4 linked regions of the Diceros bicornis minor genome follow. The protein of the gene in region 4 binds, or shares a complex with, the protein of the main gene of each other region. Links are inferred from orthologs where the notes say so. Each region holds a gene or a part of one and is shown on either strand. Other genes may lie near its edges. The genes, in order: POLR3K, POLR3C, POLR3G and CRCP.

The links.
Region 1: CRCP (region 4) and POLR3K share a complex: the UniProt entries of both Homo sapiens proteins name them as parts of the RNA polymerase III complex. The link is inferred for Diceros bicornis minor from reciprocal best matches to the Homo sapiens genes CRCP and POLR3K.
Region 2: CRCP (region 4) and POLR3C share a complex: the UniProt entries of both Homo sapiens proteins name them as parts of the RNA polymerase III complex. The link is inferred for Diceros bicornis minor from reciprocal best matches to the Homo sapiens genes CRCP and POLR3C.
Region 3: CRCP (region 4) and POLR3G share a complex: the UniProt entries of both Homo sapiens proteins name them as parts of the RNA polymerase III complex. The link is inferred for Diceros bicornis minor from reciprocal best matches to the Homo sapiens genes CRCP and POLR3G.

The regions. Positions count from the first base shown.
Region 1 is NC_080765.1:48,215,655-48,223,209, reverse strand, and holds the start of POLR3K (DNA-directed RNA polymerase III subunit RPC10), read right to left. Parts: upstream 3,006-7,555; 5' UTR 2,991-3,005; coding exon 2,880-2,990; intron 1,694-2,879; coding exon 1,606-1,693; intron 297-1,605; coding exon 169-296; 3' UTR 1-168. Other genes in the region: SNRNP25 (U11/U12 small nuclear ribonucleoprotein 25 kDa protein), read left to right, coding at 3,356-3,397, 4,212-4,302, 4,538-4,643, 5,165-5,239, 5,715-5,772; RHBDF1 (inactive rhomboid protein 1), read right to left, coding at 6,884-7,303, 7,482-7,555. UniProt on the Homo sapiens protein: Core component of RNA polymerase III (Pol III) which synthesizes small non-coding RNAs using the four ribonucleoside triphosphates as substrates. Can mediate Pol I proofreading of the nascent RNA transcript.
Region 2 is NC_080743.1:53,359,999-53,367,170, forward strand, and holds the start of POLR3C (DNA-directed RNA polymerase III subunit RPC3), read left to right. Parts: upstream 1-4,167; 5' UTR 4,168-4,394; intron 4,395-5,441; 5' UTR 5,442-5,461; coding exon 5,462-5,608; intron 5,609-6,140; coding exon 6,141-6,396; intron 6,397-6,506; coding exon 6,507-6,692; intron 6,693-7,172. Other genes in the region: E3 ubiquitin-protein ligase RNF115, read right to left, coding at 3,796-3,897. UniProt on the Homo sapiens protein: DNA-dependent RNA polymerase catalyzes the transcription of DNA into RNA using the four ribonucleoside triphosphates as substrates.
Region 3 is NC_080740.1:16,948,116-16,955,453, reverse strand, and holds the start of POLR3G (DNA-directed RNA polymerase III subunit RPC7), read right to left. Parts: upstream 3,003-7,338; 5' UTR 2,864-3,002; intron 1-2,863. Other genes in the region: acyl-coenzyme A thioesterase MBLAC2, read left to right, coding at 3,591-4,044. UniProt on the Homo sapiens protein: DNA-dependent RNA polymerase catalyzes the transcription of DNA into RNA using the four ribonucleoside triphosphates as substrates.
Region 4 is NC_080765.1:19,908,552-19,916,495, forward strand, and holds the start of CRCP (DNA-directed RNA polymerase III subunit RPC9), read right to left. Parts: upstream 3,008-7,944; 5' UTR 2,915-3,007; coding exon 2,907-2,914; intron 1-2,906. UniProt on the Homo sapiens protein: DNA-dependent RNA polymerase catalyzes the transcription of DNA into RNA using the four ribonucleoside triphosphates as substrates.

The sequences.
Region 1 (7,555 bases), about 28 Mb from region 4:
TGCCTGGCAGACGGGCTGCATCTCCTGACATCCTGGCCAGCCATCCTGAAAGGGGTAGCTTTCCCCCACACCAGCAAAGACCCTCAGGACACGCAGTTCACACTCTTGGATAGGAATCCACCCTGCAACAGGGTAAGCAGACACTGATGCAGCTGGACCAGTTTGGCCCTAGTCCCTCCAGCGGTGTCCACACTGAGCATTGCAGCACTTGTAGAAGGTGGTCATTGGCTCGTCTGCAGAGCGGGTCTGAAGCTGCATGAAATAGGCACGAGGATGCTCACATTTGGGACATGGCTCTGGCAACGAGAAAAGCAAACAATTGACCCACATTAAAAAAAAAAAAAAAGGATGCTTGTGACCAACAGATCTATTAGAAGCAGGTGTTACTTGAAAGGGGGCAAAGACCCCGCCCCCTTGCTCATCTGGCATCCCTTGCCCAGGATACCTTGTACCAAAATTTAAGGCCACAAACAGTGGTATCCTTCTCACTATGCTCTCACACTGAGAGAATAGAGGAGAACTGTGACCTTGAAAACACTCCTCCTACCCTCCCTGGGGCCCACTTTTCTTCTCAAATCTGATTGAAGACTGGTTAGAAACATAACACGAAAGGTGACTTATGGCGCGATATGCATTACAGTATCCATGCCCTGCAGATGCCCCTAATAAGTGCATCTCCTTCACCTGGGCAATGCACACGCCCTCTTGTCTTCTCAGAGGAGCTCCCGACAGATGACCAATCCGCTTCCCCTTGTATTTAGGAATCCATTCTGGCAGGAGTTTCTCAGACTGTTCTTATCAAGATCCCTCCACACATCCACACCTTTTCAGAGTGCCCCAAGGCACACCTTTACTTTCAAAGTGATTTCACTTTGAGAACCTGACCCTGCTCTTGAGGTAAACAACTTCAAACAGTCTCAAACAACATTTTCAATATTAGGTACATAATTCATCTTTTAATGACAAATTCTGCCAAACCTAAATTTTTAACATAGCAGATTTGGATATTCTTCTATGAGGGAAAAAGACAGCATTAATCACGAGTTAGCTCTTCTCCTCTCAGTACAAGTTGTATCTAGGGCTCTCCTCTTCCTTCCTTGGTCACATCTGTCTCTAACAGAAACGAATCAAGACTTGAGATAAACACTTATTTTACTGAGACTGCAGTTTAACGTTCCCTGGTATTAACTCTTTAAAAATCTATGCTAGAACAAAAAAACCAAATTTCTTCCTTAGACTCTGATTTTTACTACTCCTGTCATTGTTGCTATCATCATAGTTACCACCTGTTGAGTACCCGTTATATGCCAAACACTGTATTAACTCACTTTATGCTCTTATAATCTGTGAGTATAGATTAGCCCCAGAGAAGTCAAGGGACACCCATCGAGGTCACCCCAAGGCTCTAACTCAGGCCTGCATGACTCAAGGCTTGTGCCAAGACTGTGTGTGTAACCAATAAATTATTAAAAAAGAAAACAAACACACTTTTTATTTTTAGAAGCCCACTTCATCTAAGTATATCACGGATCCTGACGTGGAGTGGCACAGTCAGCAGCCTCATATTTAAAAAAAGCTCAGTAACAGAAAAATTTTCCCTCTCACCTGCAGTAGAGTCGACATTCTCCCAGGCAGCTGCTCCACCAAGCACATCATCCACTTCCTTCAGCTTCGGGTACTTCCGACTTGTTACCTAACAAACAGCCTCTGAGTGAGTGAACAGCACAAACCTGGGACACCAAACTATATCGACCTCAAGTGTCTCCCCACACTTCCTTCCTTCAGCACAGACTGGAGCGATACTGAACGAAAACAAAGTTCCTGCTATCACAGAGCAGGACGCTCCACTGGAATTTAGAGGATCCACGATTGGGATGATCCCAAGAGAAGAGACAGTCAGAGAAGATCTCTGCCAGGGCTGGATGAAGCACCAGAGCAGGAAGAAAACATTGGCTTAGGTGTGACCCTCCTCCTCCCCCACACCTCTAAGATACTTGATAACCCCAGATGAGAGAGACAAATACAACTGAAGTCAAAGAGCACCACTTGGCCGGGTGGCCCAGCGCCCCCCGAGGCAGAGAGCTTTCAGAGCAGGTCACACTTGGCTTCTTGCCCAAGTTTTCCCCGACATCCTTGAAATTTCAGGGTTACATAAGAGTTCACTCTTGCCATATTTTCAAACTCTAAACTTCCACCTCGCAGCTGACCCATGGAGTGGTATGCAAACATTAAGAATGAGGTATCACCAACGTGCTCTACTTCTAAAAAGGTGTACTGTCAAGTGAAAATAACAAGCATAAATAATACACTGTGCTTCATTCGTCCTGAACATTCTAGGTCCCATTCTATTGTTCAGACTAAAACATGAGGAAACGAGACAGAAAAATCCTGCCTTCCTACCGTTTATGTCCCAGTATTAATAAACAACGCCCATAAATATAAACTATATTACAACGCAATGACGCCTATGGCAAAAACAAAACAGGGAAGGAGGATAAAATACGGAGAGAGATTGCAATTTTAAGTAATCATTTAACTAAAGACACGGGGAAGGGTGAACGGGGCAGAAAACACGCGCAAAGGCCCTGACGGCGGTGCCCGTGCACGAGGGGGATCCTCCGTGCGGCGCTGGGGGTCAAGAGGACGCATTAGGACGCGAAATCAGAGGAGCAGGCTGGGGGTCCCGGGAGAACCTCAGCTTTCCCCCCGGCGCGCTGGGCACCCGCCGCGGGTCTCGGAGCACAGGACGGCCCTGATCCGACTCACGGTCACAAGGTCACTGCGGCCGTTGCCGCGGACACAGCGCGGGGAGCCCGGGGGAGGTCCCGACGGTACCCCGGGGCGAGCAGGGAGGACGCAGGGGACGCCGGCGGGCGCACCTTGCGGGTGACGTTGTGCACGTAGGGGCAGGTATTGCAGGCGAAGCGGTGACAGCGCTGCCCCTCCTCCACGATCAGCCCGTTCCCGCAACCCGGGCAGAAGAGCAGCATGGCGGCTGCCCAGCCGCCGGCTCCCAGCAGACGCCCGCGCCGCGCCCCGCCGACGCAGGCCCGCCTCGAGCTCTCATTGGTCCTGGCGGCCGCCCCGCCCCTCGGCCCGCCAATGGACGCGCCGATTTCGCGCTCCCAGCGAGCACTGCGGCAGGCCGCCTGGTCCCTGGACGCTGCGGGCTGGGCTGTGGTTGCGGTCCCCGCGCGCGCCCCTCCGTCGCGCTGACCCGCGGTGCGGGCGGGTGCGGCGGCGGCGGGGCGCCCTGGAGGAGGAGGTGGCGGCGGCGGGGCCGGAGGAAGATGAGGACGAAGAGGAGGCGCTGCCGCACTCCGAGGCGGTGGACGTGTTCCAGGAGGGTCTTGCCATGGTGGTGCAGGACCCGCTGCTCTGCGACCTCCCGATCCAGGTGCGCGCGGGCCGGGGGGCGGGCGGCGGGGCGTGGACAGCCCCCCGACGTGCCGCTGGGGCTGCGGCGCGGAGGCCTCAGGAAGGCGCCTCTGGGCGTCAGCGGGGGGTCTTAACCCGGGCCGGGCCCAGGGTGGGGCGAGCGAGAATTCAGAGGGGCGCCAAAAACCCGGTATACATGGGGTCAGGTGACGGGATGTTTTACTACGACATTTTTAAAACTCAAAGGTAGTGTAGGAAAGCCGATGGTAAACAAAGTAATAAAATTGTAAATGAAAACCAGACCAGTATTACTGGTTTCTCTTCTCAAGTTTCAATATGGTTTGGCACCGTCCTGCGTTTAAGTCTTTGTCACTTTGCCCATCATGGGGTTTTTAAGTTAACTTCTATTTCCTTGAAAGTTGCACTGAAATGTTTATCGTTACCATGTTTTTGGCGCCCCGGTAAATTCTGCACACCTGCCTCAGCCTTGTCCCGAGGCCCTGGCCTGGATCCTGGCGATCCAGGGCTCTCATACTGGACTGTCCAGCCTCTGGGTAGAGGATCCCGGGGTGGATCCTCACGTTGGTTCGTTCCCCTGGTCTGTGTCTATGCTGCGTCCTCCCGAGCCTCTGTCCACTTTAGGCATTAAACAGAAAGTGTGGATGGAACATGAGAGTGGAGTGACAAGTGGGGAAACGTGTAAGAACCTTGTCCCTTTCTTGTATTTGTAAAGCGTGGCCCCACTTTTTGGACACTGTCAGCTTGTTTTTCTTGGTTGTTGTTCGGGGCGGTAGAGAGCCAGGGCTCCCCCATCCACCCTTGGTCTTTTCCAGGTTACTCTGGAAGAGGTCAGTTCCCAGATAGCACTGGAGTACGGCCAAGCAATGACAGTCCGAGTGTGCAAGATGGACGGAGAAGTCATGCGTAAGTGCCGCCCCCTCCCTCCGGGCAGCGCCGTCTGAGCTTCACAGGGGCAAGAGGTTAGCAGGGCTGCTCAGTGGGAAACGCAAGGGCCATGCCCGGGGGGTGTTGGAGCAGCCGCAAGCCCACCCTGCCCGGATTTCAGCCTTAGTCGGGCCTCTGAGTCCTCTCCTGTCATCTGAGGCTGTAGCTGTGTTCCCACTGTGGATCTTTTCCCGTTTGTGTCCCCCGGTTGCAGCCGTGGTTGTCGTACAGAACGCCACGGTGCTGGATCTGAAGAAGGCCATCCAGAGATACGTGCAGCTCAGGCAGGAGCGTGAAGGAGGCATTCAGCACATCAGCTGGTGAGTGGAGCAGCGGGTCCCTGCAGCCCTCCTGGGGGCTGATGTGGGCCTCCACATGCACACCTGCCGGATGTGCGCTCTTAACCACCTGGCTCTACTACAGTGTACCAACTGGAGCGATGGGCTCCCCCCGAGCCGTTGGGCGGGTGGGTGCTCCTGGGCCTGGGAGTCCTGCCTCAGATGCTCCTCATCCATATCACACTGCACAGGCAGCTGGGTGGGTCTTCACTTGGGGACACCTGGGGCGTTTCCAGTGTGTTTGGAAGTGGTCTCCCTAGCTGTGGATGGTGCAGCTGTCAGCAGCCCCACCCCTCCTCACCTGGGTGCTGTCAGTCCTCCCGTTTCATTAGCAGAATGTTTGGCTGCCAGGCACCCCACACAGCGTTTTGAGAGCAGTGCCCCCTTGTGGCTGCCCTGGTCCCTACAGAGCCGAGCGCCTGGAGGCTTTCTCACACACAGCTTTGGCCTCCCAGCTGTCCAGCTCACCCTGCTCACGGCTTACCTGAGTCCCCATCTTGCAGGTCCTACGTGTGGAGGACGTACCATCTGATCTCTGCAGGAGAGAAGCTCACAGAGGACAGGAAGAAGCTCCGAGAGTGAGTTCAGGCCACATCCTGAGCTGCAGGGAGGCATCTGGACTGTTGCCTGTAGTTCCACATGCTCGGCCAGAAGCCTGGGCCCCTCAGGAAGGAGGGATCATAAATCAGTCCCTGGGGAGTGTGTGAGACAAGGAGAGTCCCTGGCTGGACTGACACCCTCCTGCAGGGAGCTTCCGGGGCCTCCCTGCCAGCAGAAGGAGAGGGAGAGCAGGGGTGAGGGGCCTCGGCTTCTCACAGTGGCGGTTCAGGGCTGCAGAGCCAGCAGGAGGGAGATAAGGGTGTCCATGGAGTTGAAAGGCTGCCCGCTGGTACAGTGTGGGTCTGTGGAAGGACAGCCACTACCACCTCCTTGCCTTCCTGGATGCCACATGCTTCCCACCTCTTCTTTCTTGGTCCCTCACAGGCTTCAGGGGAGGGGTCACAAACGTCCCCTCTGTGGATCAGACAGCTGACAGCTTTTCTTCTCTTTCAGTTATGGTATCCGGAATCGGGATGAGGTGTCCTTCATCAAAAAGCTGAGGCAAAAGTGAACCTCCAGACAAGGACGACTCTGTGTGCTGGTGGCTGAGCTCTTCCCCAGCAGGAAGAAGTCTGGAGCCACTGTCCCTTTCTCACAGAAGAGTGTCGAAGTGGCCTCACCCCAGCTGCCCAACTGGAACTGTCAGCATGAACCCTGGGCTCTCGGGACTAGGACCGGGTGAGCCAGTGCTCATGGCCTGAGCTTGACCTCCCTGGGCCGAAACACCCTGACCACGTGGCCAATCCCACAGGGCTGTGGGCCTGGCCCTGTGTACAGAATAAATCTGTTTGTTTCTTAGTTTAAAAAGTCCAAAAGCCACAGTACCTGGGGCAGGAGGAACTGGCACTGCCCCATCACAGAGGGGAGCCAGGGCGGAGAACGGTGGTGGCGAGGCCCGAGCTCTCAGATGCCACACCCCACACCACACGACCCTGCTCCTGCATTGGGACAGCAAGAGGAAGTAGCAGAGTGGGGGCTTTCTGACGCTGCTTGTGGGGAAACAGGCCCGCGGCCAAGAGCACAGCTGTGGAGGGCCCCCCCCCGCCCGGCCTCGTGCAGGGCTCACCTGCAGCAGGGCTGTCACTGGCTCCTGGAAAGGGAGGCAGCCTGGGACTGCAGTGGGAGCTGCTGGCCGGGCAGGGAGGGTTGGGGTGGGGGCACTTCTCGGTGTGTGGGGAAATTGCATCCACGGGGCCCTGTCCCATTGTCGCCTGCCAGTTACTTTGAGGAAGCGGCACAAGGGGGGTTCCCCTGGCTGAGGGACTTTATGGGGAGGTGTATTTGACACTTAGTGCCCTGTTCTGGGGAACTGTGAGTGGGATCTCCCTCCATAACCCCCAGCCGGAAACTAGAAAGGAGGAGGCAGCTCTTGGTCACGTTAGTGGCAGCTAAAACGCTCCCGGTCCATTTATTGGCCACATGGGGTGGTCGTCAAGAGACTAGTTAGCAGGTAACCAGGGGAAGTAGTGTAATAAATGCCCAGAAGTGCGCGAGGTTCAACAGCAGTGACCAAGGCACAGAGAGCTGTGTCCAGGAACAGGCCCCCACGATGCGCAGGCGGAGGCCCACGACCTGTGAGGCTCCAGCCTGCTGGAGCACGTGGCCCCAGTGCCCCAGCCAGCTCAGTGGAGCTGAGCGTCCAGCTCGTACTTCTCACAGAACTTGTCAGTGAAGGGGATGCAGGTGAGGAACTCACACCACTCGCAGCGGACGGGGTAGAAATAGAAGAGGACCACCAGGCCAGCCAGGAGGCCCAGGAAAACCAGCTGGAAGACGATGATCTGGCAGCGCTTGCGGTACAGGTCAAACCTGCCGAAGCTGATGTAGGGCAGGAAGGCAAAGGAGAGGAAGAGGCCACTGACGAAGCCGGAGATGTGTGCAAAGTTGTCGATCCAGGGCAGCAGCCCGAAGGCGAAGAGGAAGAGCACCACGGCCAACAGCTTGAAGAAGGCGCGCCAGGGCCGGGCCAGGATCTGCCAGCTCTGGAAGAGCTCCACGAAGAGGCAGGCCAGGATGCCGAACTGCGAGCCGGCTGGGCCCACCTGGGGGCAGTGGGCATCTGTGAGCTGGTGGGGCTGAGCAGGCCCCTTCAGACCCAGAACCTTGTCCCCGTCCCAGTTCTCGTGGCCCAGAGACATCAGGACTGAGGAGCCCAATGGAGAGGCTCCTAGGCTGGGCAGTAGGTGCATACGGGGCTCCCCACCCTGGGGGCAGCTTTACCTCTGCCCGGTACGGCAGGAAGATGGCACTGGCCAGGTTACCGGTGACGCCACTCAGCAGGTAGATGATGGCTA
Region 2 (7,172 bases), on a different chromosome or scaffold from region 4:
AGTCTTATCAATACCAAAAGTAGTTTACTCTGCATATGATTTATCTCACCTGCTTAATGATGATTCTATCAGACTCCATCTCATAAGGTAATATTCCCTGGCCTTGATGTAAAAGAGGACAGAATGACATCTTTACATTCCATAACACAGCCCTCTGTGGTACTGCCCAGTCATTCATCAATGGAGCACAGTAACTGTGTCAGTCTTGACTTCACAGTGTCTCTCAACAGTATAGCCAGGTGAGGCAAAAGCTTCTGCTGTGTTATGAAAATAATTTTAAGTTACTTAAGTATTTCTTCTATCATTTGATGACCAAAAAATACACAATGCCATTTTACCTAATCATATATAAACTTGAAACTCTGGGGTTTCAGACCATATAATCAAAATCTCTTATTTTAAAATTCAAGTTTAGTACTCACTAAATTTTACTAAAATTAATTTCACTGTAAATAACAAAACACTCCCAATAAGAGAAAGAAATTTCTAAATCAATATTCACTTCTAGAATGGAGACTCTTTTTTGATGCCTAACAGATAACAGTACCACTGAATACTATATTTTCATTTTAAAATTCCATTCACGGTTTTCCCTCATTTCTTAATATCGTCTTTCTAAATGAAACGTTTTTCTCTTATCTGGGAGGATTCATACCAAAGACACACAAAGCTAAGATGGATAAATCAGGATTAGCAATAAGGAGTGTTATTTCACCAAATTAATTCAAACGAATGTGGCTTAACTTAACAGCATAAGGCATATTTCAATCTCTCTCAGAAATTATAGCCAAAACTATTTCTTCTAATTCAGACACGAAAGTTAACTGGGTCTGTGAATCTTTCAGAGTAGTAGGACTGACAAGATAAATGATAAACAAAAACCTAAGAGCAGTTTCAGGGCTGAACATTGGGTAAACTATTGTTATTGCCTGTGCACACTTCCAAATGTATCAAGAAGTGCTGTATCCTAGCGATTGGGAAACGGAGAAAAAGTAAGAGTGGTAAAAACCTTGCAACCTGGTCCCACTGAACACAATTATGACTCTGCTATGTGGTGACTAAATTGGCAAGAGATAAGACGGCTCTGAAGCAGTCGTTCCCACTGATTGAGTGAAGAAACCTACCGAGTAATAGCTCATTGAAAGCTGATGTAAAACTCCATACGCAGCCTCACGTGTTCAGGGAGGACAGCGCTCGTGGATGATGGTTCTTGTGATCCATTAAGACAAAACAAAGAAAAACTTCATTCACAATAAGCTGAGTCTAGCTATCCTCAGAAAGACATCCAGCTTTCCCATAACATTTGTCCAGTTGAAGAAACAATGCATGCCTAATGTATACTGAGTACTTACAGTGAGGGAACCTTAAGTTTATATAAAAAATTATTTTCAAAAAACTTTTCAATGTTCTCCTATATATATGAAAATCATACTACTGACTTACCAGTGTTTGAGTTGGTTTTTCAGTAGCAGAGACAGATTTGTACTGAACCAGCCACTTACTGACCTGGTCATTCTTACAACCAACATTTTCAAGATGACAGTCTGGGGTTAAGGATATACAAATGGCCATGAAACAAGATGCAACTCACTGGGTCATCTACAAATCAAAACTAAACCCCTGACCTCATTGCACCTTTTCCTAAAAATGCATAACAACAATGATTTACTAAATATTTCTCCCTTCTTCCTCAACTCACTCTTCCTTTTCTACCTCAGTCTATGCTATCCTCCTCAATCTGAATTCTGCCTATCCTGTAGAACTCAATTTAAATCCCATCTCTCACTCTTTCCCTCACCTCACCAATGTTACCATATCCCCCTCTCTCTGAATTTGAAAGCACATATTACCCATCCTCACTCACCTTACACTGTTACTTTTTCCATGATTGTCTTGTCTTTCCAACAAAATTGTGAGCTCCTTAAGGGCAGGAACCACATATTCCTCAGTTATTGCCTTCAGAATATCCAGTACAGAACCTTGTATGTATGTGTAAATATTCAATTACATTTAATTGTGTTAGGCCTTAGTTTACAAATCAGACATTACAGATAATAAATCAGAGTAAAAACATCAATAGCCTCTCCTCCGGGCATCAAACTAAGGCTTAGAAAAACATCCAAAAAGTCTTTCAAATTATCACTGTTCAAGAGCACTCTGAAGTGAGGACTTGAGATGGTAAAAAGAAAAGATATAATAAGTTGTGGAAAGTTAGACTGTTTTCTCACTCTTTAAGGCAAATAGTGAACAGCGACTTAAAGATCAGTAGAGCTACGGATACAATGTTCAACAAGGCATCACATTCAACAACATGTCACTGGTCACACACACACTAGCTCAATTCCAGACTCCCTTTCTGTGGTAAGAGAGTTCTGGAGGCTCGGATGTCCACTGGAAAAAAACAAAGCACCTGCTCTTCCCAGCACTGAAACATGGCAAAAAGCACATACACACACCGCCAAATCAGCAAGCAAAACTAGCCTGTAGATGAAACTATGACTTTGAAGTTGGCGGTAGGGCAAACAGAAAGAAAAGAAAATACTATAAAAGCCTGAAAAAGCACAACTTTTAGGTGAAGAGGCTACAATATTCTTCAGGCACTTATTCACAAGACTCTTTGTGTTTCTAAGAAATAAGACATACAGACACACTTTAGTAGACTTTCTCATACTGTACCTGAGACACTATAAGTCTAGAGGTAAGTTGTTATGAAGCCACCCTGTCAAGACTGAACCTGATTACTTCTAAGGAAAAAAACAACCATAACTAATTCTAAAGATGGGTGGCCAAAGGTAGGATTACCATTCACCCCAGTGGGTCTCCCTGCAGTAGTTACAACCCGACCCAAAACAGGGCCTGGGTTTGGGGTGCTGTAGCTGGCTAGCATCCTGCAGAAGCGCTTTCTTCACAACCATAGCACTACCCCTCTAGGTGCTAACAGTCTGGCAGAAACTGGTGAAAACCAATTTTATGTCAGAGGATGCAGTCCCCAGCATTCCGTCCTGGATCTTTCTATTAAATGAAGAGACAAAGCGGCGCAGGGGGGCGGGTAAGGGAGGTGGTGCCAAAGACACTGGCAGCAGGACAACAAAAATAACCAAGTTGAAACAATATGTCCTGCCTTCTTCCTAAAGCCATTTCCTTCAATAGTGATAGGGAGGCAGGCAGTCTGCAAGTCATTACACACGGCTGTTTTCACTTTCACAAGAACCCTGGAAACCAGTGAAGAGCAAAATCCCCCTCTCTGCCCCACAGTTACCTTCCAACCCTCTCTCTTTCGTGCTTCCTTCCTTCCTTCCTTCACTAGAGACAACCGAACAGGGACAATCCTCATCAATCCGCTATTTTGCTTCACTGAGGATGGGGGAGGGGGAGGATCTGGTGAAGTAGAAAAGCAAAGAGGAAGGTGAGAAGCAACAGCGGAAAGAGTATCGAGTAGGAGAAAGAGAGGTCATAGTGAGAAGACAAGGTGAAGAAGAGTGCAAGAAAACTGAGGGGAGAGTTGTCAGAGGAGAACTAGCTAAGAAAGACAGAAAGATGGGGGGGGCAGGTAACGAGGGGAGAGGGAGTGAAGGGCAGGTCAAGCATCCGAGGGGGAAAAAAGGCCGGACGGGAGTTATGGAGCCAGGGCCGGGACGCCCAGGGTTGGGGGCCAGCGACGGGAGACCGTGAGCAGCAGGTATTGGACAGACCGATGTCAGGGGAATCAGGGGAGTGCGGGGATCTTAAGACCCTGTGGACATCGGGCCGAGGAACTCACGCCGATGCCGAGCGCAGAGGACACGGGGCTCTTACCGGTAGTTTGGGGCTGACCTCGCCCTTGCAAAAGTGGCAGAAAAACCGGTGCGCGGCGACAGCGGCGCCTGCGCCCGCCCCGGCCGCCGAAGCCTCCGCCATTTTTCTCTTCCGCCGCGGCTGTCCGAGAGGGCAGCGGCCCGTCCCTCGCCAAGCCACTACCACCCGGCTGCGGTCGCCGCCTCTGCCGCCGCCGCCGCTTCCTCAGTGCGGCCGGCCGCTCCAGAGCCCGCCTCGGTCACGTGAGTCTGCCGAGCCCAGAGAGGCGACGGCGTCGACTGCGACCCCGAGGCCCGCCTCCCAGCACCAAAGAGGCGCAGGAAGGAGAGTCCGCCCGCTGCGCCCGCCCGCCGGCTCCTCAAACAGCTCCTCGCCGGTCCTCCAGCCTTCCAGCGAGAAGAAAGAAAGAGTGTCCCCGGAAACCACCGAAACTCTGAGGGTAGAGCGGCACACGTTTTTCCCTTTTCCCCGTCCTCCTCGGTGTCGATTCTCCTGCAAGAAAGGGCCGTGGGCTCCCCCTCTGCCCCGGCGGCTAGCAGGAGCCACATGAAACCGCCGGCCGTGGGGAATCGGCGGCGTTAGATTGCATTGACCCAGAGGTTAGTGGAAACTGCTGTCTGAACCAAGGGACCAAGTCCAGAACGGGAACCTGCGTGAAGGGAGTGAAGAGCCAGGAGTCAAGCTCCTTGAAAATCCTTTTCGAGGACGGCAGAGGGTCTAGGGATGCTTCCCCAAAGGCATGTGGTTGGCCTACTGAGGCTGAGAGGCAAAGACTTGGCTTCTGAGGAATTGAGAGAAACAAATGAACAAACCAATGTTTGGTAGCACTTGGGATGATAAGGAAGTAATTATATAGCCAACTACGTCTGTTTGTGTCTACTTTGTCAAGGAGTAGAAATTTCAAAATTAAATACTGCCCTGCAAACAACATACTTCATCTCCTATTTGAAACACCCTGTTGAGAAGCTCTCCTTTACCTCTTAATTTCTTTTTCTATGTTGTCATGTCCTTTATGGACTGGGAATGACACTGCCTGTTCACTCCCAATGGGCTGTGAACAGTGGCCTTAATTCTTCCAAACAATGAAGTATAGAATCTAAAGTCTGTGACAGATAGCAGATCCATCTACACCCAACCTTTAAAAAAAAATAGAGGAAAAAAATTAAAATCACACATAATTCCATAAAGATAAATTTGATGTATAGTCTTCCAGGCTTTTTTCTATACGTACATGTTTTTCTTTTCTTTTTTCACAATAATTGAATTTTCCTCGACATTTTGCTTTGTAACCTGCTTCCTTAGTGAACAATTTTCTATGCTAATACATACTATATTTCATTTTAAATGTTGGCATAGTATTCCATCATATGAGTATCCCATAATGGATTGAATTAATCCCTTATTGCTAGACATTAGGTTGTTTCCAGTATATCAGAATTCTAAAGAGAACTACAGTGACATCTTTTTATTATTTGTTTGGAACGATGTATTCAAAACAAAATTATTAGGTCGAAGTTATCCAAGATTTTAAGGCTTTTGATCTGTAATGTCAAATTGCCCTTGAGAAAGTACATGAATTTACACTCAGTAGCTCTACTCCCAACATAAAAAAAAACTTTCCATCATACAGTCCTTTTTGTTTCCAGCTCTCAGACTCCTCAGTACAATGACTCAAGCAGAAATTAAACTGTGTTCTTTGTTGCTGCAAGAGCATTTTGGAGAGATTGTAGAAAAAATTGGAGTCCACCTAATCAGAACTGGCAGCCAGCCACTAAGAGTAATTGCCCATGACACAGGAACATCACTGGATCAGGTATGTTTGGATGACATTAATTTGCTTTCATTAATTTCTTTTATCTACCTTTGAATATTGTTACTTCCCACCCCACAAAATGGAAGAGGGAGAAAGCCTGCCCTGGGATCAGAACAGTGTTATTTGCGGGGAAAGAGGATGAGATGTAGGCCCCAAGGTTCTGCTTCTCAAACTTCCTGGTTCATCATGGCTTCTTAGGCAAATCTTTGCTCTTCCTATGCCATACCTCATTTATTCATAATGAGTCTGTTAATCTCAGTACTACTTTTAAGGAATGAGAATAATAAAGGGAAAGTACATTGTACTTTGGAAGATGAAGATCAGAGGAAACATGAGCATCGTAGCGAGGAATCTTCCTGATTTCTTCTATGGACATGTGATTCTTATTAGCTCTTTCAATGGAGGGAGGGAAGAAGCACAGAGATTCTTATCTAGCCATCTCCTGGTGCTGAGTAAACTGTTGGACAAAATTGCCTGCAATAATGAGCGGTGGCTTCAGATCTTTTCCCTCTTTCTTTTGGGTCCTATCTAGGTCAAAAAAGCTCTTTGTGTCCTCATCCAACATAACCTGGTGATATATCAAGTGCACAAACGTGGTGTGGTGGAGTATGAAGCCCAATGCAGCCGGGTGTTGCGAATGCTTCGGTATCCCCGGTACATCTATACTGCTAAAACACTATACAGTGACACTGGGGAGCTAATTGTTGAGGAGCTGCTGTTGAATGGCAAAATGACAATGTCAGCTGTTGTGAAGAAAGTGGCAGACCGGCTCACAGAGACCATGGAGGGTCAGTACTGTATCCACTGCTGTTAGCAAAAGCATAGATTGGCTGGCTGCAGGAGTAGACCCTCAGCTGTCTTAGGCCATCTCACCTGCCTTTTTCCTCCTGTTGTACAGATGGCAAGACCATGGACTATGCTGAGGTGTCAAACACATTTGTGCGACTAGCAGACACACACTTCGTGCAGCGTTGTCCCTTGGTGCCTGCCACTGAGAATTCAGACTCTGGGCCACCACCACCTGCCCCCACTCTTGTCATCAGTGAAAAGGACATGTACCTGGTTCCTAAACTGAGCTTGATAGGTAAGGAATTTTGACCCCTGGACCGTGACTTGCCCTAATTGTTGATTCTTCATCAATGATTGTTAAATGAATGAATCAATCAATTGGGCAGTTACCAAGGATTTATTCTGTGCCAGGTACTGTGGTGTAAAATGATAAAAAAAACTCATAGTCTCTACCCTTATGGTACTTAAGTCTAGTATAGGAGACTTAGATTAATCAAATAAACCAGATAGATATATAACTAACAAACTTTGATAAGTACTATGAAGGAAAACTGTGAGGTATTATGAAAATATATAACGGGACCAGCTTTATCTGGGGATTTCGGGCACATGCTTCTTTGAGAAAGTGGCATTTGAGTTAAGATTTGAAGCAGAAGTAGGAGCCAACCAGTGAGGTAAAGTATGAAGGAGTACAGAGGATAAACATTTTTGGCAAAGGCAAGAGTATATAGTGAGAAAAATATAGGATATTTTAGGAAGTAAAAGAAGGTCAGTA
Region 3 (7,338 bases), on a different chromosome or scaffold from region 4:
AAAGTGAGGCCCTAAGAGGTTAGCTGACTACCTGAAGACACGCAGTTAATTGCTAACAACGAGTGGACTGGGGTAAAGCCTCAGGATATCTTTCTCCATTGTCCTTTCTCCATTACGCTGCCTGAAATACATTTCTAGGCTAGTTGAATAGTTTTTTAATCCCGTGGATGTGTTTAATCTTTACAGTGAAGTGAATTAGTAATGGCAAAATTGACTGGTTTTAAAAATGTAAAATCAGAAGCATCATCTTTCCATTTTGGGATGCCTCCTGAAAATTCCTATTCAGAATTGTTTTGAGATGGCTTGATGAGTGTAGTTCAACCATCCATGAGCTGAAATGCAAAAGCCCATTCTAATCAACTATAAAAACAACCCCGTGGCAAAGGCTGAGCTAACCTCTGAAACTTCTCCTAGTTCTAACCTTTTATGAATTATGATTGTGCTTAAATGTATTTTTCTCCACATCTCACACAGTCTTTTGCACATATTAGCTAGGTGAATAAATGTACAAACAGACGTAAGCAGGCAAGGAAACTAGAGGACGCACTGAAAGCCAGGTCACAGTATCTTTCCTAATGAATGACACCTAAGTTGCCCCAATAAGAACCTGGTAGTCATGCTGACCTCCTCTCCATCTCCCTCAATCCCCTCATCTAACAGCAGAAGACTATCAGCTCTGTGTCCTCTCTCACATGTTCACCTTCCTTCACCTCTGCTTCAGTTCAGGCCTTCACCATCTCTCGCCTAGAATTCTAATACAGAACAAATAAATTTCCCACGGCCAGACTCCCCCTTTCAAGCCACTCTCCGGTCATCTTTCTAGAACACAAACCTTGATGTGCCACTCTCCTTAACTGGCAGAGCTTTCAAGTCTAACTTTCTGCCTCTCGCCCCATGTATCCCACACTCTAGCCACTCTCAAGTCTGCTACACCAGCTCATGCCTATAGCGTTACTTCTGCCTGGGGTGCCTTCCACCTGAGCATCCCCAGCATTATTTAAGATACTATGCAAATGACACTTGTCTGTGACCATTTCCTCCAGCTTACATGGAGGTAGGCCTCTCCCTTCTCGTTGTTTCCCTAGTACTACATTGCTTTTATTACCCTTTTTAAAATCATGTTGTAATTGTCAGTTCTTGTCTGTCTGCCCAGTAAGCTCCTCAATTATCCACTCATCAAGTATTTATGAAGCATCCTCTGTGTCAGACCATCTTTCACACATTGGGAATATAGCAGTGAACAAAACAAGTCTCTGCTCTCATGGAGCTCATAGTCTAGTATGGGAAATGGAAAATATAAATATATTTTATAGAAAGTGTCAGGTAGTGATCAGTGATATAAAGAAAAAACAGGAAACATGGATGCTATTATGGAAAGGATGGTTGAAGAAGTCCTCCCGTATTCTGTAGTATTTGAGCACAAACCTGACAAAAGTGAAAGAAAGAGCCATGCCAAGGACTAGGAAGATATCCAGGGGAAAGTCTGATCCAAGCAGAGGGATTTGTAAGTGTGAGGCCTCCTTGAAGACTTACTCCCCTTTTCCTGCCCCATCACTCAGCAGAGCTTGGCAAAAGTCCAGTGAATACCCGATGAATTATTGCTGAGCTCATGGCCTACTGACGATATCACTCCATTTCACCTCCAGTGGATCCCCTTTGCCTAGACGAAAGATACCCAAACTACAGTGAGCTCTGTGCTTCCCTGAGAACGTCCTGAGGACAGCTCAAATGCCACACCCCAACAATCCCTGCCCTCTGTATTTTTATAGCACCTAGTTTTGACTTCCTCTGCGGTACAGATCCCATATTGCTTTATATTGCAAATATCTGTGTACAGATATTATCTTCCCTTAATTCTTGAGAACCCAGATCATGACTTTTTTTGGGCACAATTCTGTTCTTCACAGATCACCTAGCTCAGGGACTTGCACATAACGATAGCCCTGAACAGTGACTGGATAACTTCTAACTAGACGAGGAAACTATTCAGAACCGCTGCATCCCTACCGAAGGCTTTGGGGGTGGGGGGAGAGTACACTTCTCTTTCTAGGAAGGCTTTCTAGCAGCTGCCACAGTAAAGGTTTTCCTAATTATCTTCTATAATGCTGTCTCATGGGTGTTTTATAATTTTTCCTGGCTGAGTAGGGAGGTTAGTTAAGTCTTCAAGGGAATTTTTGACACCTAAATAGATGTTTCAATAGCTGGGAAGGGTGGGGTGGGGCGGGGACAGGGACATGGTGTTAATAGTGGGGGTGATTTATGTCGCGGGGGGGGGGGGGGCACACCCAGTCAGTATCCACTTTTCCTGTCCTCACAAGGTGCGGCTGCCTCCACCTTTCCTTAGTTGAGCCTTTCTACCAACTTTCTTTGCTCTCTTCCAAGAGCGGACAAAGTAACCGAAAAAATGGAGGATGGGGGGAGAAATACAGAATTTCATTATGTAGAAGAGAAGAAAATCCTTATTAACAACCCCTCTCCCACGATACAGGGTAAAGTGCCAACAGTTAAGAAAACATACTGAATAGTCTGTCCTTAGCTGCAAGTCTGCGGCAATGACTCGTGCCTGAACCAACCCTAGTCATCGGATTTGAAAATCTACCATCGGTAAGAGCACAAATGCCCTTCTCACTCACTGCAAACAGTCCCAAGAAGTGGAGACTAGGTAAGATCTGGAAACGACGACTTTAAAAGATTTTGAAGGGACTAGGAAAAGGGGAGGTAAAGCTATGTCCCAACGCCTCTCAATCCAGAAGCGCTTTAATGAATCTTCATCCCCGACTTCCCCCACCTTCTCCATGTGCCTCTTTAATTACCCTCTACCCTCTCCATCTCCTCCCAGGCCCTCAATCGCTTGCTCTGTTACCTGCTCACTAAGTCTCGAGGCTTGGGCAACACTGCACAGCCGAAGCGCCGGCCGGCAAAGAACGGGTGCGGACCGAGGACGCCGGCTCTCGGGTGCTGCTGGTTCCACCTCTGGAGAAGCGTGCTCCGCCCTCCACGCGGCCTCAGAGCCGCGTTCGCATCCCGACTAGTTAGCCCCGCCCACCCCCCAGCGAGGCCCCGCCCGCTGGGCCAAGAGCTTTTTAGCCCTCGGCAGGCACCGTAGTCTTCCAACCGGCTGGACCAGACTCTTTCCGCGCCGGCTGAAAGTGCGCATCGCGGCGCGTGGTTGGTGGGCGGGCCTGCAGCCTCCCACGCCTCGTTCCTGGCCTCTGCAGTCAGGCCCCCGAGGTGGGGACCGTGTCGCCTTCTGTGTCTCCAGTCTGCTGCAGTGGCCCCTGCGTGAACGCTCCCTCCTGCTGCGGCTCCAGAGGCTGCGATTGCTCCAGCGCCCGGGGCGGGCTGAGCACCTCTGTTTTCTGCAGACCAGGCGGGAGGGTGCGGTGGCCGCTCCGGGCAGCGTCTGCGCGCGTCCTTCCTCCTCCTGGTTCTCCCTCGCCCCTCCCGCATCCCCCGCCCCCTCCTGGCTCCGCGCCTCCTCCCAGGCTGCGGGCAGACCGCTCCACACCGCCGCAGCGCCTCGGGTCTGGACAGCCTGCGAGGGGCACACACGCCCACACCCACTCCGCCCGGCTGCACCCCTGCCCAGCATGTCGGCGCTCGAGTGGTACGCCCACAAGTCTCTGGGCGACGGCATCTTCTGGATTCAGGAACGCTTCTATGAGTCGGGCAACCGCGCCAACATCTGGCTGGTGCGCGGCTCCGAGCAGGACGTGGTGATCGACACGGGCCTGGGGCTGCGCAGCCTCCCCGAGTACCTGTACTCCTCCGGCCTCTTGCAGGACCGCGGGGCCAAGGAGGACGCGGCGTGCCGGCCGCTGCTGGCTGTGGCCACCCACGTGCACTTCGACCACTCCGGCGGCCTCTACCAGTTCGACCGGGTGGCGGTGCACCACGCCGAGGCCGAGGCGCTGGCTCGCGGGGACAACTTTGAGACCGTGACCTGGCTGTCCGACAGTGAGGTGGTGCGGGCGCCCAGCCCCGGCTGGAGGGCCAGGCAGTTCCGAGTACAGGCGGTGCAGCCCACCCTCATCCTGCAGGATGGTAATGGGCCCTCACGGGCGCGCGCTCTCACATTAGTGGAGGGGATTGGGGCGAAACTGGCCGAGGGATGCATGCTGCAGACGTGCGTGGCTGTAAGGGGCTTGTTTTGTCACCTCGCAGGAACACCACTTCTTTTTCTCCCTTTCCTGCGTAAAAGCCCCCTCCACGGGAGCCAAGGCTATCGCAGCCTTCCCTTCCAGAGACCAGCTCTGGCACAGTGTAGCAATGCCGCGTGCTCGAATGAAAGCCGGCCCCACCCCCTGGTCAGTTTCTTGTGTAAGGTACAGTAGTAACACTACAGAGACTTGTGACTAGGGATTTCCCATTCTTTTCCCGAACACTTGTCTGACGTTTCCAGGCGGTTTTCTAGCGAGCAGACTTTTAAGGAATGACGCCTCCCGGAGAGTGCTTGTCATGCTCTGTGCTTTTGAGAACTGCTGACTTCATCCGCCTTGGTCAGCGGTCACCGCCGGGAAGGAGCAATTCCCACCTGTAGGCTTAGAAAGCCTTTAGAGAGCAGTGGTTCCAATCTGCTCGTGCATCCTTATCTTCCAGATAGGTTTCTGTGCTTGACGTTGCCTCACGAGAGAGCAAGCTTGATAGTGAACATGAAAAGTAGAATATGGCTGAGTCTTAACATGATGAGATACCTGGTCTGGTTGAAAGCAAGGCCTGAGAAAGATTAATAAGGAGGTTATTTCCGGTGATGGGTGAAGTATGTGGACTAAAGCATGGGCCTCTTTGGCTCTGTGAAAGACAGGATGGGGATCAGAGAGAAGTTATTGGAATAAAATAAAATAGAGTAAGGCCCCAACTCCCCCAACCTTCCCAACCCCAAATAGGTGCTTAAATAATTGAGCTGATTAGCCACAGCAGCAATATATGTGTATTAATTTCCTTTTTTTCTTTTTAGAATACTTTTGTTGATTTCATTTTATCCTCACAACACATTTGAAGTGACGTGGCTGACCCCCAATTAAATCGCTTGCCTAGAGTCCACAGAGCAAGATAGTGACAAAAGCTAGGGTTTGAACCAAGGCACAATAGATCAAAGTATGCAGATCATACCCCATAAATCCTACCCCATAAATATATTATGGTAATTCTGAGTAGGATGCGAAACCCCCTTCTTTCCTTTCTATCTTGAAACCATTTTAATTGCCACTTTAATTTATTAAAACGTTCCTCTAAAAGGTAGAAAAATCCAGTTGCTGCGGTACAATAAGGCTCACTTTATGACCAACCAATATGACAAATTATGAAATATTTTACAAAAATCAGTTTATCTTACAGATGAGATCTTGATCACTTGAGATATAAAAATACAAAGCAAGATTCTGTACTTCACACCCCACCCAAAAAGTCTTTTCATTAAAATTTTAAATCTAAAGATTAGGAAAAAAATGAGTTTAGATGGGAGTCTTACATTACCTGATAATTTGAGGTAAAAATTACTGTATTTGTTGATAAAATTGATACTTTTAGAGATAGGATTTCCATGCAGTTGATGGGTATTCAGACTAAATTAATTCTGGCACCCAGACCAAAAAATGTTTACATTAGTATTTAAAATATATTTAAATTTTCTAAACGAATAAATTACTTTTGATTTATTTACTTTTGCTGCGCTGGTGGCAATAGGAAATCAATGGTGAAAGAATGATAGGAATTATTATTTTGTAGATGAAGAGTCCAGGCAGGCCCGAATATCATATCTGAGGGCACGTAGCCAGTTTGGGAAAGAGCTGGGACTAGAACCCAGGTTTCCTAAATCCCAGTTGTTGGTAGAATTACAGCATTTTGTTGCTGCAAGGGGCCTGCTAGCTCCCTGTGTGGTGCTTTAAGCCTTTGAAGGTGTGAAAAGAAAGCTTAATATTTACCAAACACTTTGAAGGTGATAGTACTGTGTTAAATCAAAAGTTGTTTTTCATTAGGAGCTAGATGCCTCACCTGTCAAGTTGTATCTAATTTCCTATTTTCTCAGGAATATTAATTTCCTGTCTCTTCTCAATGGTGTGGCCTGCTAACTTGTTATTCTCATAATTCAGATGCCTGGAAAGAGATAAAAAATATTTGTATTAAGAATTCATACACAGTTACACACACATGAGCAGCGCATACCCAAACAACATAAAGTCTTCATTGCTTTGGTTAGAACATAAGGAGGCTGAAGTCATTAGTTTATATTGCATTTCATTTAGTGAATTGATGATCACCTGTCATGGAGAAGCATAAATCTATGCACTGTATCACTAACCTAAAAGCTGATTTGTAAATGAGGGACAAAGAAGACAGGGAGAGAGCATCATCTAGTGCATCATCCTTGATGGAAAAACAACTCACCCTACTAATGGTGAAGTAGTATCTTCCTATAAGAAGACAGCAATAAACCATAGCGTGATCTAGCACATTCTTCTTGAACAGGCACACATCATTTTGCCTATTTTTCACAACACTCAAGTGATATAAAGTGCAGGCATTTTGGCCCTTATTATACATGTTTAAACAATTTGCCCAGAGTCACAAAGATATTAGAGCAGTTTTTTCAGATCGACTTGAATAATTGGAGAAGGTTAAAAACAAAAAGGAGATTCCAGAAAGGTAGCACATTGAACAGACACATCTAATTTGACTCCTGCCCAAAACCCCGCTAAGAGTGCTGTACAGGGACCGTGGTTTGTCTCTGTTTTAAGTATAAATCCACATTGACTGAGGAACTGTTTCAGATGCTGGAGAGTAAATGTGATGACTGAGTTAGCAGTTTTACCCTATGCCAGCAATGGGAAATCAAGAGCCAGTCCAGTTTGCATTGCAGGGACCTTCCTGCAGGCTCAGGAATTGGCAGTAGCTGGTACCTTAGGGGCAAAGGAAAGAATACTAAAATAAGTAGAGTTGATTGAAAGCCATTTAAGACGCTGTTAAAACGCCAGAACCCTTCTTCCTAAGTGAATGCCCACCCAGTTAGTTTGTTCTCTGGGGAGAGTAAAACAGAGGGGTTTCTTGTTTGAGGGATGCTAAGTACTATTGAGCTCAGGGGTTCAGTATGGAAAATAGGAGGAATAATATATATATGTATGCCTACTAGTTTCCCAGAAGGATGAGAGCCAGGCCTTTAGTAGGAAATTGGTAGGAAATTGGAAGAATCTTATCTGGGAAATCTGCCTAGCCCCAGAGGAAAGACTAAGATGCTGATCCTTGAGTAATCCTTGGCTTGATCTCTCTACAGTGAAGCCTAGGTCACTAGGTCGCATGCACGAGCTTCAAGCAGCCTTTTCATCCCCCACTCTTAAACAG
Region 4 (7,944 bases):
CAGAGAAGATGGACTACAAAGTCAGCAGTGGAGATGGTGAAAAGTAACTACATTCAAAATATATTCTGAAGGTGGAGATGACAGGACTGGCTGATGGACTGGATCTAGGCGTGAGGAAAGAGGGCTAGATTTTTGGTATAAACAACTGGATGGATGATGAGAGAAAAGGGCTAGAAATATACTTTTGAGAATCATCAGCAGATAGATGGGTAAAATGACCAAGGGAGAGAGTGTGGAGAGAAAGGGTCCCAGGACCAAGCCCTAAGATGCCACGAGATTTAGAAGCCAAGCAAGAGAGGAAGGAGGAGCCAGGACAGGAGACTGAAAAGTAGTCTTTGATGTAGGAGGAAATCCAGGAGAGCATGTCACAAAGCCAAGAGTCTCTAGAGCTTCTGTATCAATTGCTGCTAAGAGATCAAGAAAGTTGAGGCCAGCCATAAAAAAAGACAAAATCGTCCCATTTGCAACAACACAGATGGACCTTGAGCGTACTATGTTAACTGAAATAAACCACACAGAGAAAGACAAAAATCACATGATTTCACTCATATGTGGAAGATAAATAAACACATGGATAAAGAGAAGAGATCAGTGGTTACCAAAGGGGAAGGGAGTGAGGGTGGAGGGGTGGGCGAAAGGAGTAAAGGGGCATATATGTATGATGACAGATAAAAACTAGACTATTGGTGGTGAGCACGATGCAGTCTATAAAGAAACTGATATATAATAATGTACACCTGAAATTACACAATGTTATAAACCAATATGACCTGAATAAAATAAAAATTAAATAAAAATTACAAAAAAAAAACATTTTCATAGCAAAAAACCATTTTTACCTATAGTCATTGTTGTAGGTATGGTAGGATACAAGTGGCAAATTTGGAAATTCAAAAAAATCACAAACCATAAGATCTTTAGGCTTGTCTTTTTGAACTTTTATTTTAGTTCCACTGTTGAGACTCTATCACCCCATGCCATAAGAAAGCAGACAATATGCTATGGAATCTTGAGCTTCCAATACCCCATTGCTTGATACAATGACTTTGAGGTCCTTGGATAAAATGTGATATATGCAAATTCAATATGTTGCTGTTACTACTGCAGGAGTATAAGTAATAAAAGACTGTTATTAGTACTTAACGAGTGTTCACCTACGAATGTTCCTGAACTGATGGATTCCAAGAAAGAAACTTAGGTTTTACTGAATTGTTCCTTTGAAGGAAGTCAAAATTTATATTTAATGCACTTTATAATCAATGGTGTCTAAATGCCTCCGTCAGTGCCTAACTGCATACACAAAAATTAAACCTTCTTTCTATAATCTACCATAATAAATACTGATGGTATTTCTGTTATTTAAACACGTCTTTAGTTTTCTTGTTCATTTTCTGCTCTGGTTTCCAGCCAGTGTTCTATGTAAAGACATATTAAGTTACAGGAAAATGTAATCTCAAAATATTGTTTTTTAACCAACTTGCAGTGGTACTAAAAGCATTATATTTAAGTCAGTAAACAATGGAATATAATTTTTGAAATTAGAAGGTATTCTCTTAAAGTTTATTATAATCAATAAAACAACCAATCAATCAACAACAACAAAAGAAAGTTGGTGCCAGAAAATCAACTTTTGGATTTGACAAGATGCAGGATTCAGGCGATCCTCACAAGCCCGATTTCTGCAGACTGGTGAGGATGAAAGCCCAACAGAACGACTGGGAGAATCAGAGGATAAACAACACTTCTAAGAAGTTTTCTTGTGATGGAAAGCAGAAATGGAGCAATAGGCAGGCATGAATGCGGGAACAAGGGATTTTTTAAGATGGATAACTAAAGCAGGTTTGAATGCTGACAGGAAATGCTCTAGTAAAGAGGGAAAAATTGATAATGATGGCTTGGGCTAGAGTAATACAAACAAATGTTTTTCAAGTTGCAGATTAAACCCCATTAGTGGATTGCAAAATCAATTTAGTGGGTCAACATTCACCTTTAATAAAAGAGGAAAGACAATATCAGAGTGTACTGCCTACAGCAAAGGTAAGTGTTTTTTCATGAAGCTTTCATTTCAATTACATATATATACTGTGTTCTTAAAAAGTATGAAAAAACAGTACACATAACCATTAAAACACGAGGCAAAAGAACATAAAGCAAAATGTGAGTATTAAATAATCAGTGCCAAAGAGAACACAAAATAGGTATGCCTACAAGTCCATGTCAACCACGTAAAAACCCACATGCAGAGCAGCTGCAAAAACTTCCACTGGCACGCGGTACAATGAGCAAATATGGAACAGACGATGTGGAGTTAAATTGTTAGAACGGCTTTTACTCCCTCTACACACGCGTACACACCGCGCTGTTTCTGCGGTCCCAGTCCTGGCTCAAGCCTTCTCCCCACAAAACCCGCCCCTCCCCTCGCAGGGCTCGCTGCTGCTCATCAAACTCAGATACCACCCCTTCTGAGTCAGGGCTCCCCGGGAGCCCACTGCCCCGGGTAAAGCTTCTCCGTCTCTCCTCCAGATACTTCCAGGGTGGACTCGGCCTTTATACCTTCTAAGTCCCCCCCTCGGCTACCGGCCTGGGCTCCCCACTGTGACCCCGAAAACGCTAATCAATGAATGAAGGAGGGAGCAAGCACAATGAAAGGCAGCCGGGCCTAGCAGCACTCGGCCCATGTCCCAAGCACAGGGGGTGTAATGGAGCCGAAGGTTCAGAGGGGCAGAGCGAGAGTCCCTTTCTTCCCCGCCGCCCCGACCCACAGATCCTTCCAGACTGGGCCGGCGCCCTCCCCTCACGCCCCTAGGAGGGATCGCCCCAAGCCCACGTCTCTGGCTCCCAGGGGTTCTAGCCGTCCCCAGCTGTAAGCGTCAGACAAAGCTGGGAACGCGCCCCGGTCTGCTTACACTTCCATGTCGAGCCCGTCTCGTCGCCTCCAACCGCCAGCAGGGAACGAGCCCCACACCGCACCGCCACCTCTCAGCGCCGAGCTCCCAGTCGCCGGCTTCGCGCGCCGCGCTGCACGCCGGGAGCCTGGCGCGGGGACCGCCGCGGTGCACGCCGGGATCGCCGCGCGGCACGCCGGGAGCCTGGCGCGGGGGTCCCTCCGCGCTACCCGGCTCTGCTCGTGGGCTGGCGTCTGTGCCCTTCGCCCAGCCGGGCCTCAGACTGTTAGGCGTTTGCAGACAGAATTTATTTCATGTGTCGTTGATTTCGTATATTAGGGTATTAATAAATGAAGCTTCCAAAGACGTAATCTGGTTAGCAGACCTTTGCAGCGTTAAAATCCCGGCCCTGAGAGAGAAGTGACGGAGGAGGTGGGGTGGAGTGGAGGCGGCTCTAGGCTGCTGGAAATGTTCTATTTCATGATCTGGGTGTTGGGTACGCGGGTATGTTCAGTTTCTGAAAATTCAGTGAGCTGTACACTTAATGTGTACCTTTCTGTATGTATGTTATAATTGAATAAAATGTTTTAAAAGGTGAGAAAAAATCTCAGCCTCCCTTCTCTCTGTTCCCACTCTTTCTTGAGAGCTATTTGGCAAAAAAAGGATAAAAAGCCTGAACGACAAGCACACGGTCTCTGACCTTCCGGCCTTTTGGGACTTTACCCAAAGGGAATTGTCACATGGTTGAAGAACGACGCATGTGTAATGACGTTGTTCCTCAGAGAGCGCCTAAATGCAGAAGAATGGGGAATTGATAAATCATGTTTCAGCCGTACCGTATAATATTCAGCCGTGAGAAATCAGGTAGCATATTTGGTATGCTGGGGAAATGCTCAAGATAGGATTTTTAAATGATAGAAAATGATGTGGTGTGACCCTAATAATCTAAGAAAAAATAATGCATAGGAAAAAAAAATACCTAAGGGTATGGAAGATAGAACCACCTAATCTACTACATTTTGTCTTTTCAAAACCATAGGGGTGGGAGGTTGATGCCTATTATCTTCTGGACTTTTTGGTATGTTTGAAATATTTCTTTCTTATTTTTTTTTTTTTGTGAGGAAGATAGGCCCTGAGCTAACATCTGCCAATCCTCCTCTTTTTTTGCTGAGGAAGACTGGCCCTGGGCTAACATCCATGCCCATGTTCCTCTACTTTATATGGGACGCTGCTACAGCATGACTTGACAAGCCGTGTGTCGGTGAATGCCAGGATCCCAACCAACGAACCCGGGCTGCCGTAGCGAAGTGCGCACATTTAACCGCTTGCACCACCTGGCCAGGCCCAGTTTGAAATATTTCTTAAAGCCTGGGGGAAAATATGCCAAAATATTAACAGTGGCAGATGTCTTTAGATGATGAATCAATTGCTAATTTTTTTCTGCTTTTTTATACTTTTGTGTTCTATTGGTTATCATTTACTAAACTCATTCTCTTTGCAAGGTCCTTGCTAAGCACTTTGTTATTCCATGGTATTGACAGTTAATGGTGCAGGCTTTGCAGTCAGACAGCCTGTGATCCTGTTTACCTCAATCACTTTCCTAGAGGCTGTTTGACCTTGGGAGACTACTTAACCTTTCCTAACCTCAATTCCTTAATCTGAAAATTATAAATCTGTTAGATAATCCTTATAAATGCCTGGCACATAGTAAGTGCTCAACAAATATTAATTACTGTGACAGTACATCCGTGTCACTCTATGAGATAGATTCCATTGTTATTCAAATTTTGCTATTGAGGAAACTGAGGCGGACTTGGAGAGATTATGATTTGCCCAAGGTCACTCATCTAGGAACTTGTGCAGTAGGGATTCAAACCCAGGCAATCTGAACAAATACAGGAGGTGTATTAAATTGTTGATAGTGACCGATAATTGGATAAAGAAAATGTGCCATGTTAATACAATGGAATACTATTTAGCAATAAAAAGGAATGGAGTACTGACACATGCTATAACATGGATGACCCTCAAAAACATGCTAAGTGAAAGAAGCCAGACACAAAAGACCATATATTGTATGATTGCATTTATATGAAATGTCCAAGAATACACAAACCTATAGAGACAAGCAGTACATTAGTGGTTGCTTAGGGCTGGGAGAGGAGCATGGGAGGTGATGGGAATTGACAACTAATGGATACCAAGTTTTCTTTTGGGGGAAACAAAAATGCCCTAAAATTAGATTGTGATAATGGTTGCACATCCCTGTGAATATGCTACAAAACATTGAATTGTACACTTTAAATGGGTGAATTGTATGGTATCTGAATTATATATCAATAAAGCTGTTAGAATTTTTTTAACTGGTGTTTGCCTGTGGGGATTGAATTGGAAGAGAAGGGGAATTTTTAACATTTAACTTCACACATTCAGAATTTTAAAAAGATTTTTCAATGCACATGTTGTTATTAAATTACAAAAATATTTTTTTAAAAACAATGAATTTACTTAAAAATCAACAAGTAAATAAAAAGCCACCCCAGACTCAAGGGCTTGATTCATATGGAGAGTCCCCTGTACCTCCCTGGAGGAGAGCGGGCCCCACGAAGCGCTGAAGATGCTCATCGTGTTAGTCACTCAGCAAACATGTAGTGATGGCCCATTCAGTGCCAATGATACAACTGTGAATAATACACGCCTTCTGCCCTGGCCAGCTCACAGCCTAGTTGGGGAACCAGCTCTGGATATCAATAACTACAATACACTGTGTTTAAACTTGATGGAGCAGGTGAGGGAATGACTAATGAGGTGGAGAGGCGTCCCAAAGCCAGGGGAGTTTGAGCTGGGTTGGGGGAGGAGCATGCAAAGTCAAGGCTTCAGGGATGGGCTTCCAAGGAAGAGAGGCTAGTGCGTTTCGGGGCCCCGCAATAAAATGGCTAAGCTGCGGGTTCTCCAAGGGAGGACACCCTAGGACTTTGGGGACCATATGCAGTCACCTAACCTATCCTGTAGGGGCAGCCGGGTAGTCAGGAGTGGGGCCCTCTCCCAAGGGAAGGCTGCCCAGAAGGAGCCTGCACAATGAGATATCCCGGCCAACAAAGCTGGGCCGGTCAATGGCTGAAACTCCTGTTGACCCGTCCCCACTCAGCGCCTGCCTGCAGCTTTCCTAACTTGAAGCTGCCAGTATTAGGGATGCCTGCCTGTTCTGCACTAGACTCTTCCTTAGTTATTTTGATGCACCAAGGTGGAAATTTCAGGGGAGAGAGGCCAGGCAAGGTTTTCACTCTTCTGAGGCAGATAAGTCCTGTACAGCACTCAGCTCTCAGCTGAAAATGGGTGTCATCCATTGTCTGAACAACTCTGGCCCCCCAAGCTGGTAATGAGGATGGACACAGAAGCTTTGCCTATGGTCAAGATTCTGAAGGAAACACTAGCAAAATAGAGTGGGGTTGTGATCCCTTCCTTACTATGCCAGGAGCAGGAATTGTACACTCTTGGTGACATCCAATCATGGGTTGTGTTCCTGGTGACACATAGGAATGAGGCAATCAAGTGTGGTGGTTACAGATGTGGGCTCTGTAGCCAGACAGGCTGAGTTAAATCCAGGCTCTATCACTCACTAGCTGTGTGGCCTTAAACAAGTTTCTTAACCTTTCTGTACGTTGGTTAACTCATCTGTAAAACAATAATACCAGTGTTCTCTACCTTACAGAGTTGTTGTGCTTAGAATACCACCTGGCAAGTGGGAAGCATGGGGGTGGGGGGGAATGTTAACTATTATCCTACATTTCCAAAGCAAGGAAATAAGATTTGAATGAAGAAAGCTTTAAGTATAAGATAATATGTGGATGTCATCTAGTTCTCCTCATTGCAGATATGCTGTCCATCTTCTTGGGAAAACCATGAAGCCCTTCATTACCTATCTTGTCTTGGAACAGTTGACATGTATTGAGTTAGAGGCTTCGAGTAATAGAAATTGTTACATGGCAGTGCAGAGCTGAGGAAGGGACGTGGGGGCGGGAACAAGTGGTCAGCCCTATAGGGGCATTTTCCTGGAGTCTCTGTGTATAGTACACAGAATAATGGCTCCCTAAAGATGTCCACACTCTAATGCCCCAGAACCTGTGGATATGTTACCATACATGGCCAAAGGGACTTTGCAGATGTGATTACGGTTATGGACCTTGAGATGGGGAAATTGTCCTAGATCATTTGGATGGACCCAATCTAATCACATGAGTCCCTGAAAGAGGAGATTCTTTCCCAGCTGATGTCAGAGTCAGAAGAAGATGTGACTATGGAAGAATGGTCAGAAAGATGTAATGTTGCTGGCTCTGAAGATGGAAGAGGGGAGGGCTGGCCCTGTGGCTTAGCGGTTAAGTGCCCGCACTCCACTACTGGCGGCCCGGGTTCGGATCCCCGGCGCGCACAGACGCACCATTTCTCCGGCCATGCTGAGGCCGCGTCCCACATACAGCAGCTAGAAGGATGTGCAACTATGACATATAACTATCTACTGGGGTTTTGGGGAAAAAAAGGAGGAGGATTGGCAATAGATATTAGTTCAGAGCTGGTCTTCCTCAGCAAAAAGAGGAGGATTAACATGGATGTTAGCTCAGGGCTGATCTTCCTCACAAAAAAAAAAAAAAAGATGGAAGAGGGGAGCCATGAGCCAAGGAATGTTGGCAGCCTCTAGAAACTGGAAAAGGCAAGGAAATAGATTCTCCACTGGAGCCTCCAGAAAGGACTACAGCCTTAATTTTAGCCCAGTAAGGCCTTCTAACCTACAGAATTGTGAGATAGTGAATCTGTGGGGTTGTGTGTGGTCATTTGTTACAGCAGCAATAGAAAACTAGTACACTCCCATACAAATCCTTTGTTCCGTGTAGACTGTCCTCCTGCTTATTCACTGTCCACAGTCAAGAAAGGCTGCTCTCCAGCTCTGCCCCCATCTTTTCTGCAGGAGGCTGAGTAGCCATCAAACGGCTCCTAGACAGATTCAAGTGTCTCAAGGCATTGTGTGCACACACATGCCTGAGCACACCCAGAGCTCTGGGCC